Mus musculus: one gene and its partner. The protein of the gene in region 2 interacts with the protein of the main gene of each other region in a pairwise test. Links are inferred from orthologs where the notes say so. Each region holds a gene or a part of one and is shown on either strand. Other genes may lie near its edges.

Region 1 (4,665 bases), on a different chromosome or scaffold from region 2:
TTTAAAGAAAGTTTTTGGGAAGGATACCAATTCAAAGAGAAGAAAAGATCTAAATACAATAGGAAGCACACAATAGCTATGCTGATGCTGATATTCATGTTTCATTCAAACTCGGGGCCTTCCTTCCATCTGCTTAAGTTTTAGAACCAATAGTATTACAGTCACAAACTAAGATAAGAGGGCTTTGATGTCCTCCCATATTTTTCTTTGGAAAATGTTTATGGTTTATAATGTCCTTTTATTACAGATTTAAGATAATTATAGATTCATATGCTCTTAGGAGATATAATAAAGAGATATTGCATATGCCTTTATATATAACTTAGCTGCTGGTACCAGCATTTCTCCAGCTGGGAAGAATTCTAAAGTCTTATCTCTATCCATGTCCCTCTAATCTCCATTTACAATACAGTCATCTTAAATTCTCTACACACCCAGTCAGAGCAGCAAAAGATAGTTGTATAATATCTACTTAACCCCTAAACAATATTTGGATAAAGCTAATAAAATAAAGGTAAGAAAGTGTGTTTTTATTTATGCATGCAAGCCTAACACTTCCCAGTGTTTTGTTGTGTTTTGTTTTTTGTTTTTCTTTCTCTATTCTCTTCTGTCATTTTTCTTTCCTTTCTGTTAAAAAATCATCTTTAGCTTTTTTTTTAAATAGCATGTCCAAGATTTGCTAACTTCTTTACATTTTATTGTATTTAAGTGTTTAGGGGAGGTGTTGTTTATGCAGATGCCTTAGAGGTAAGAAAAGATTATATCCACTGGAGCTAGAATTACAGGTGGTTGTGAGCCACTACATGTGGAAGCTTTGACCCATACTTGAGTCTTCCTGGAGGGGAGGAGGCATCCTAAGCTCCGCATCATTGTTCCAGCCTCTCAATGCTCACTTTCTCAATGCTCACTTTCTCAATGCTCACTTTCTCAATGCTCACTTCCTCAATGCTCACTTTCTCAATGCTCACTTTCTCAATGCTCACTTTCTCCTCAATGCTCACTTTCTCAATGCTCACTTTCTCAATGCTCACTGTCTCAATGTTCACTTCCTCAATGCTCACTTTCTCAGTGCTCACTGTCTCAATGCTCACTTTCTCAATGCTCACTGTCTCAATGTTCACTTTCTCAATGCTCACTTTCTCAATGCTCACTGTCTCAATGTTCACTTTCTCAATGCTCACTTTCTCAATGCTTACTTTCTCCTCAATGCTCACTTCCTCAATGCTCACTTTCTCAATGCTCACTGTCTCAATGCTCACTGTCTCAATGCTCACTTTCTCAATGCTCACTTTCTCCTCAATGCTCACTTCCTCAATGCTCACTTTCTCAATGCTCACTGTCTCAATGCTCACTGTCTCAATGCTCACTTTCTCAATGCTCACTTTCTCAATGCTCACTTTCTCAATGCTCACTTTCTCAATGCTCACTTTCTCAATGCTCACTTTCTCAATGCTCACTTTCTCAATGCTCACTGTCTCAATGCTCACTGTCTCAATGCTCACTTTCTCAATGCTTACTTTTTCCTCAATGCTCACTTTCTCAATGCTCACTTTCTCCTCAATGCTCACTTTCTCCTCAATGCTCACTTTCTCAATGCTCACTGTCTCAATGCTCACTGTCTCAATGCTCACTTTCTCAATGCTCACTTCCTCTTGAAAGGTCTTGTGCACAGCATGCAGAACGCTGAGCTGCCAGGTTTTCTTTCAGTGGTGGGGACACACCTTCCATCCCATCGTCTCTGAAAACAACCTACTGCTACTCAGACTTGTCTTCCCTCTTCATGTAAGACTTCATTTCTTTCAAAAGGTTTCCCTTGGCTATAATTTTCAGAAACTCTGCTATACTATATATTGATGTGAAATCCTTTGTGTTTTCCTGTTGAGGGCTTGGCTGGCTTCTTGAATCTCTAGTTGCATAGCCTTTAGAGGAGCAGTTCTCAACCTGTGGGTCACAGTCCCTTTTGGGGGTTGAATGACTCCTCCACAGGGTCACATACTACATATCCTGCATATCAGTTATCTACAATACAATTCATAACAGTAACAAACTTAGTTATGAAGTAGAAGTGACCTGATTGTATGGTTGGAGGTCACCACAACATGAGGACCTGTATTCAAGGGCTGCAGCTTTAGGAAGGCTGAGAGCCACTGCTTTAGAGAATTTGATATTTCCAGACATTTTCTTCAGTGACCTTTTTTCAGTCTGCCTATTGCTCCTCCTTTGCAGCTCAATATCATGCGGAGATCCTTGTCTCTCTTCACTGTCTCTGTTCTCTCTTGTCCTCTGAAGATTCTTCTGCACTGTTCTCTTCCAAGTTAAAAACGACACCTCTGCCGTCCACATCCTGGTCTCCAGCCCACTTCTCTCACTAGCTATTGTATTTTTTTTTTAATCTAAAATATCCTGGGTTCTTCTTTGGCCCTTTCTCCTTTGCTAAGATCCTTCTGTTTTTTTCTTTTTTCCTTTTTTTTTTTTTTTCTTTTCTAGAGAAGTTTAGTGAGCACAGCTTTGTCATGGTAATAACTGCAGCCTCAGGGTTGGCATTTTCTTTGTTCCCTTAGACCTTACCAGGGTATAGGTCAAAGGAGAGATTTTTAAGTCAAATATAAACATTTTCAGTATGATGCAATGAATTCTGGACCTTACTCAAATTCTAGCTAGCTTTCTCTGACACTAGCCAATGGAAAACTTAGAGAAAGGGCCTTGGGTTAGTGGCCCTTTCTTCTACAAAGGTGCCAAGGTCAAAGAACCTAGGGTCTGCTCCTGGAGTGGAGGGCTTCTATTATTTGAAGTGATCCAGGCCAGTAAACGTTGACCTATCTCTGGTTGAATTCTGTTACTATTTGTGGAACCTCAAATTGTTACATCTTCACGTCCTTGAATCAACTCTAGTTGAGTTGATGCCTTTTACTGATTATTTACTCATTTATCAAATTAGGTATAACAACATCTCATTCGATAATAAGCAATGGTTTATTGTAAGCAGGTAAATTCTTTTGGTGAAACTGAGACTATTGACCAAATGAACATAGCTAATTTCAACAGAACAGAAAAGAAAAAGCCACTCCTAACTTATCAAGTAGTTTTGTCATGCACAGATCCTGACTGCTCCAAAACTCTAAATGAGAAAGATCTTCAGTTCTACTCTGGTACCTGCTCCTGCGGTGGTGACCGGAACTCCCTGGTTTTCCTGGCAGTGAGTGCGGCAGACATGTTTAAGGCTTGCATGACTTCATTATACCTGAACCGTTGGTTGTCTTGGAGTTTAGCTACAAAGTCATCTGAAAAGGCTACAATGGCTTCGATCCGGTGCCTAACCTGGCAGTCACAGAGGTACTGAAGCAAGAGGCACATCTGAGGAGATAATTTAAAAGTCATAGCATTAATATTTAATTTATATGAAGTCATAACCAGTGTAAAATGTTCTTAGTTTCCTATTTTCTCTACAACACAGCATCCTAGCACTTGACAAGCAGAAATGTGTTTAATCTTACTGAATGAAGTTACCATGCACAGGCCAGCATAGCAGATACATGCCCCCGGAAGAGGCAATCATTCAGAGGTCCTCTATGGTACCACAGGCACAGCAACCAATGAATAAATAAGGAAGAGTTTACAAAGGGAACTTCTGGGAGGGTTTTCATGATTAGTTGGAAAATAGAACACCTTTCTTTCAAAATATATGCAATTGGGTTATAACTTAATTGTTGGAGGAAGGGTGTGGCAATGTACCTTTATGAGAAAGAACACAGTGTGAATATTGCTGAGCCGAAAGACATTGAATCCCTAATCCAGGGCTAGAATATGGTGGTCATATACAAACTGATCATGAGGTGAAAGCCCACTGCTTAAGTGACTAATTCAGTGATTTCTTATAGAAAAAACAAACAAATTTTCACTGGTAAACTATTTGTTGAGAAATGTTTGCTGATAAGTGTGTCTGTGAATGGTCTAGAGATATAGCTCTGTGGTAGAATGCTTGTCCAGGAAGTATGAAGCCTTGGGTGCAACTCCAAGCAACTCATGAAAAAAAAATCCACAAAAAGTCAGGGACTGAGGGGATGGCTTGATGGCGTTAAGAGAGCTTGTGGCTATTCCAGAGGCCCTGAGTCAAGTGCTTAGCACTCGTGCCAGGTGGCTAACAACTTCCTAACTCCAGCTCTAGGGGATCTGATGCTCCATTATGGCTTCTATGAGTACCTGTTCTCATATGTCTATACCCCCCACAGATTTACATATATATATATATATATATATATATATGTGTGTGTGTGTGTGTGTGTGTGTAAACAAAACTAAGTATTTTAAAAAGTAAGCTACCCATAAAAAATATGAATTTAATTTAGAAAAATCCCAACTACACTAAACATCCGTTGTAACAAATACAGAGTAGGCCAAAAGAAAAGTTTAAAAATTCCTGCATGTCAAAGTGGTATGATCATGTCAACTAGCAATCTCTTCTCCTTCCTCCAAGTCTTTTGTCCAGGGTGCCATGAGGGCACCATGCCCTCGAGTGTGGACAAGGCTGACTGCTTGCTGAAGAGACAGACTCTGGGCTGCTAGGCTGAACTCACCTCCTCTGCTTGCCTTGGAGACACCACCTGGCCTCTCCAGCCTCAGGCCCTGTGCTGTGCTGCCTGCTGTGTGCATAAAGCTCCTGGGACC
Region 2 (5,219 bases):
CTTTGGGCTTTGAGGGCAATCCATGGACAAGATCCTCTTGAGGAAGCTTATAGGACAGCCCTGCCTTGGGAGGGGCAGGCCTGGGCCAGTGCTGAGAGAATGAAACCTACCTGTGTAGTGCACCACACATATCTGACCCTTCTTAGGGAATGTCCTTCCTGTTAGGAGAGATTAAAGCAGATGAAACGTTAGGTATTAGAAAAGCTCACCAAGATGGGCGGCGGTGGTGGCCTTTAATCCCAGCACTGAGGAGGCAGAGGCAGGCGGATCTCTGTGTATTTGAGGCCAGCCTGGTCTACATAGTGAGTTCCAGGACAACCAAGGCTATAGAGAGACCTTGTCAAAACAAAACTAACAAAACAAAACAAAACCAAAAAGCCAACCAACCAACAAACCCAAACTAATAATGTCTCCTTTCTGGTTTGTATTTGAACTTGATGCTACTGGTCTCAATTTCCTAGTCTAAAATTACTCCCTTACTTTCATCTATTTTACAAGTGTTCAGGAATAGCCTACTACGTGCTAGACCAGAATCATGAATAGCCTACTGTGTGTCAGATGACCAGAGACAGAGAGTAATATATGAACCCGTGAAGAAGAGAAGCACAAACCTAAATCTCAGATTGCTATAGAGTCATGATTACATCAAAGATGAATATCATTAACAAGAAATCAATAATGACCAGGCCTGTGCCCTCATATCAGAGATACATCGGAGAACAATAAAGACAGGAGCCCTGCTCTTCTAGGGTCTACCTTCTTTCTTTTGTGTACATGGGATGGTCATGTGGGGTGCAATGGAGTGGGGTGTGTGTGTGTGTATGTCACACCTAGCTTTTTTGGATGAGTGAGGAGATTCAGGCTCAAGTCTTCATGCATAGCTAGAGCTCTTAGCCACTGAGCCATTTCTCTGGTTTACATTCTAATGGAAGGAGACAATGCTCACATAAATATGATCATTACAGATGGTGATAAATCCTTTAAAGAAAATGAACACTGATGAATTTCAGAGAGACACAGAGAGCTGGCAATTTCAGAAAGGGTGAGCCAGGAAGGCATTTTGAAGAAGATGAGGTTTGAGCTGCTGCTTAAGAAGGAACCAACTCAAAAGACCATGAAGCAGGAAAAGATTGGTGCACTTTCAGAATAGGAAGGAAGAGGGTGAGATGGAGGAGAGGAACATGACAGTGATGCACCACGCAGCGTGCAGAGATGGGTCCCATACTAAATGCAATTGGAAACCACTGATGGGTTTAAAAGCATGGAAATGACCTAATCTGAATTAAGATTTTATAAGATCACTCTAGCTCCCGAGTGTGGGATGGATGGTTAGACATCTGTTGCTATAGTCTAGACAAGAAATCAATGGTTGCATGAATTAGCAGAGAAGAGAGTGAAATAGATTAGAGATACGTTTTGGAAGCAGGGCTGACAAGGGCATGCAAGTGGATGAGAGGAAGGAGCCCACTCCCCATCTCACCATTGAATGGTGGGAAAGGATTAGGGTTTGGGTAACCGGAAGGTGGTAGAGCTGTTCTGAGAGATGAGAAAACTGGAAAGGAACAGATTTGTGAGGGTGGCAATCTTGAGCTGCCCATTAGACATGCAAGTTTTTACTGCACAGAGGCAGATGCAGAGCCAACCCTGGATAAACAAACTGGGTGGAATAGAAAGCTATGAGACTGGATTAGGAGCTTGGGAACATAACAACACAGTCAGCGGTTAGTGGACTGTAGGAGCCTACCAAAGGAAGCCAGAGAAAGCCCCACAGAAAACAGTTAAATTGGCTGTTAAAAGATGGGTGGGCGTCTGTCTGGAGAAGTAAAGGGACCTGGGAAATAGAATTAGTTGTAAGACATGCTCGAAACCTGGAATCCAGAGTTGGGATGTAGCTCATGTACAGCAGGTGCCTAGCAAGCACAAGGGTTCCACCAGGAAACACACAAATCCTTAGGGTCCTAGAGTCCAGTCACAGTGAGAGCCCATTGGTTCCATCCTGTAACCCTAGGTCCAGCACACAGTGTACACGTTCCATAAATATCTGCTAAATGAGTGGTTTGTTTAACAACTCACAAGTGGCTTGGTGAAGTTGGTTGTGGATGCATGGATAGTAAGTATCGAAAGAGGAAGTGCCAGTGTGGATCCCTCCCGCCCTAGCAATCACCAAGAGGGCAGCTGCTTGCAGAAGTAGGGGGAAGAGTCTTTTAATGATTTTCTTCCTGAGGGAGGGGCCCTTAAAGCTCTGCATTTTAGGGGACCTGTGAGAAAAATGAGGGGACTGAGAACGGAAGTCAAATGGAAGGCGGGGAGAACGAAGATGGGGAGACAGCTCAGAGGCTGTGTGGGTGACAAGGCCTGGGAAGAAACGTGTATCTGCAAGGAGTGATCTGGGCAGTATCGGGTACTTCCAGGAAGCCCTCGGTTTGTAACCAAGAAGCCCTTTAACTCCCTGCGAAGGAGCATGCCAATAATATCCAACAGCAAGTTTGCTTGTTAAACACTCTGGACCTTGGGGGTGGCTTTTGGTCTGGATTAAATTTTGCTTAAGAAATAGCTACTCCTTGAATATGTTGAATACACCCAGTTTTCTAAATAGTTGAGGAAACTTGGTGAGACAGGGAACCCAGAGATAGATAGACTGGGAGGAGGGGGTGGGGTGGGGCGATGAACCAAATTATGGAACGCGAGTTGTTTTGACCTGGCTGACCCGGCACCATGGACCCCCCAGGAGGATCAAGCAGCAGGTCCGAAGGCTGGGTTTTGACTGAGGAGGGCATGGTAGAGGGCAGATGACCAGGAAGGGTGAGTAGGACCGGGAGGGTGAAATAGGAAGCAGAAGCAGCCAAAGGAGTGGCAGGCTCCCAAATTGGCTCTCTCCACAACTAACCACTGCCCAGCCCTGGGGGCCTCCAGACAAGAGGGGCGGGGAGGTGTGGTGCAATAGGAGGGGTTTCTCTGTACAGCAGGAACCCCCAAAGCGAGATCATCCCTGGAACCGAACAGGAAAAACGGAACAGAAATTCAAACCTGGGAAGTCAGTAGCAGCGGTTAATCGAGAGGTTGCAGCTCAGGAGATAGCAGCCGCAGCCTAGGACAGTGGCTGGACATAACCCCCTTGCCCTAAGGTGGCCGCCTTCACTCCCCAAGGTGAGCGGGCGCAGAATGGGATGGTGCGTTGTCCTCTGAAACCCACAAGAATCGGGGAAGGAGGTCTCCTCCTGTCGCCCGCATCTTTGACCCTCTCCCCGCTTCAGGTCCCCGGAGCCACCTCGGAATCAGATCCCAGCCCGCGGACTCCGCCCCGGGACCCCTCCTCCTCCCGGGCCCAGCCGCCCGGTACCGTCTCCTGGGGAGATGGTCTCGATCTCCACGCCCATCACGGTCCCACAGGCCCCGCCTCCAAGGGGGTCCTCGCGGCTGCCCCGACCCCGGCTCCGCTCTGGCGCGGACCCCGCAGGCACTCCCGCTCGCCTTCTTGCCGCCACTGCAGAGCCGGAGGAGGTGCGGCTGGAGTCAGGACCTGCGCGGGGAGGGGCCGCCGGGAAGGGGGCGGCGGGGTGGAGCTGTGCGACAAGGTGGGGTCGGCCGGGGCGGAGCCCGAGGGAAGCGACCCTGACGTGGCTGCTCCGGATCCTGGCCAGACTAACCACCATTAACCCACTGGCTGAAAGGGGAGGCAGGGTGAGCGAGGCGTGCCGGCACTAGCACATCCACACATCTATCCACTCAGTGTATATTTATTTAGCACCTACAGGGTGCAAAGCCCCAGGGAGTCCACTCAATCCTACAGACTAGGAGAAAGTCGGTAATTAAACTAACTCTTTAAATACGTGTGCTCAGTGCCGTGGGGTTCAGAGTAAAACGGAAGCACCCGAGACTGATACCTACCCGGGTTAGGCTTCCCGAATCTATTGGAGCAGAGCCGGCGAAGGGAAGAAACCAATTATTGACGAATTTTCCTCAACCACCTTAAGACCACATTCATCATTCCTCAAAGTTTTACAGCAGGTATATGTATTGGAGGTCTCACCTTTCAAGGTAAAGGACTGCTCCCTGGGGATTCCAACTGAATTAAAGGAGGATCAGCTCTGTGCTGAAGATACAGCGACAGCCTGAATGGTGAATGCTATAGAAGGAATGAATGAATTCTTTTACCTCTACCCAAACCAAACCAGGATCTAAAAAGATACTTTTGTCCTTCCCCAATCCGAATTCCGCTTCCTTGGTCCTGGGACTTGAATCCAGGGAAGCCAGGGCCTGTTCACTCACGCTAAGCTAACAGAGGTTACGTCCATGGCCCCTAGGAAGATACATTGGGAGGAGAAAACATTTGCTTGAAGGCTGAAGGAGACTTTAAGAAATGCCCCCCACCCCCATCTTTTCTACACCCGTTGCACAGATCTGAATTTGTTTCTGACAAGAGCCAATGGGAGGTGAGTATGGGAGAAGGACCTATTTATTCAAAGGCCCAGAACTGGAACTTGACGCATTTTCCTCAGTTTCTCCATCTCCACTCTTCCAAGTGGCTAGCTCGCAGATACTAGCTTGCCAGGATACAAGGACTAAAGTTGGTGCTCAGAAAAGCTGGTTTACGGTACTGTGCACGTTAGGATCAGAAAAAAACCCGTGTGTGTGCCCTAGAGTCGTCAGGGCTTAAGGCAAACAAACAAACAAAAAAGCTTAAGACACCCCACCCTCCAACCCTGACCCTCACCCCCCTACTGGTTATGGCCTTGGGCAGGTACTTTGAGATCGGGGTAGAACAGATCTGCTACTTGGGCAGGCCTACGAGGCTGGCTTCAGGTAAACGGATGTATTTACATTTTGGGAGTGATATTTTATGGGATTTTTAAATGTGGAGTTCTTGACTCCCCTCTAAACTAAACACTAACTTTTTACACATGTTGACTGTAGAATTCCGATTCCCTCTTGCCAACCAATTTTTTTTTTCTCTGTATAGCCCTGGCTGTCCTGGAACTCACTCTGTAGACCAGGCTGGCCTAGAACTCAGAAATCTGCCTGCCTCTGCCTCCCAAGTGCTGGGATTAAAGGCGTGTGCCACCACGCCCGGCTCTTGCCAACCACTTCTAAGAGAACAGTTGAGACCTGCGTGGGAAAAGAGGTTGAAGCACTTGAGGTGTATTGTGAAGATTTTCGGGCGGTGATTTCGCGGGAACTACAACTCCCAGAAACACTTGCGGCAAAGCCCGCGCTTAATG

The links.
Region 1: the proteins of Fkbp1b (region 2) and Ryr2 interact in binary tests that used the Homo sapiens proteins (3 or more experiments, as listed by UniProt). The link is inferred for Mus musculus from reciprocal best matches to the Homo sapiens genes FKBP1B and RYR2.

Annotation. Positions count from the first base shown.
Region 1 is NC_000079.6:11,732,318-11,736,982, forward strand, and holds part of Ryr2 (ryanodine receptor 2), read right to left. Parts: intron 3,355-4,665; coding exon 3,154-3,354; intron 1-3,153. UniProt on the Homo sapiens protein: Cytosolic calcium-activated calcium channel that mediates the release of Ca(2+) from the sarcoplasmic reticulum into the cytosol and thereby plays a key role in triggering cardiac muscle contraction. Aberrant channel activation can lead to cardiac arrhythmia.
Region 2 is NC_000078.6:4,838,059-4,843,277, forward strand, and holds the start of Fkbp1b (peptidyl-prolyl cis-trans isomerase FKBP1B), read right to left. Parts: upstream 3,516-5,219; 5' UTR 3,378-3,515; coding exon 3,341-3,377; intron 3,183-3,340; exon of another isoform or gene 3,028-3,182; intron 159-3,027; coding exon 111-158; intron 1-110. UniProt on the Homo sapiens protein: Has the potential to contribute to the immunosuppressive and toxic effects of FK506 and rapamycin. PPIases accelerate the folding of proteins. It catalyzes the cis-trans isomerization of proline imidic peptide bonds in oligopeptides.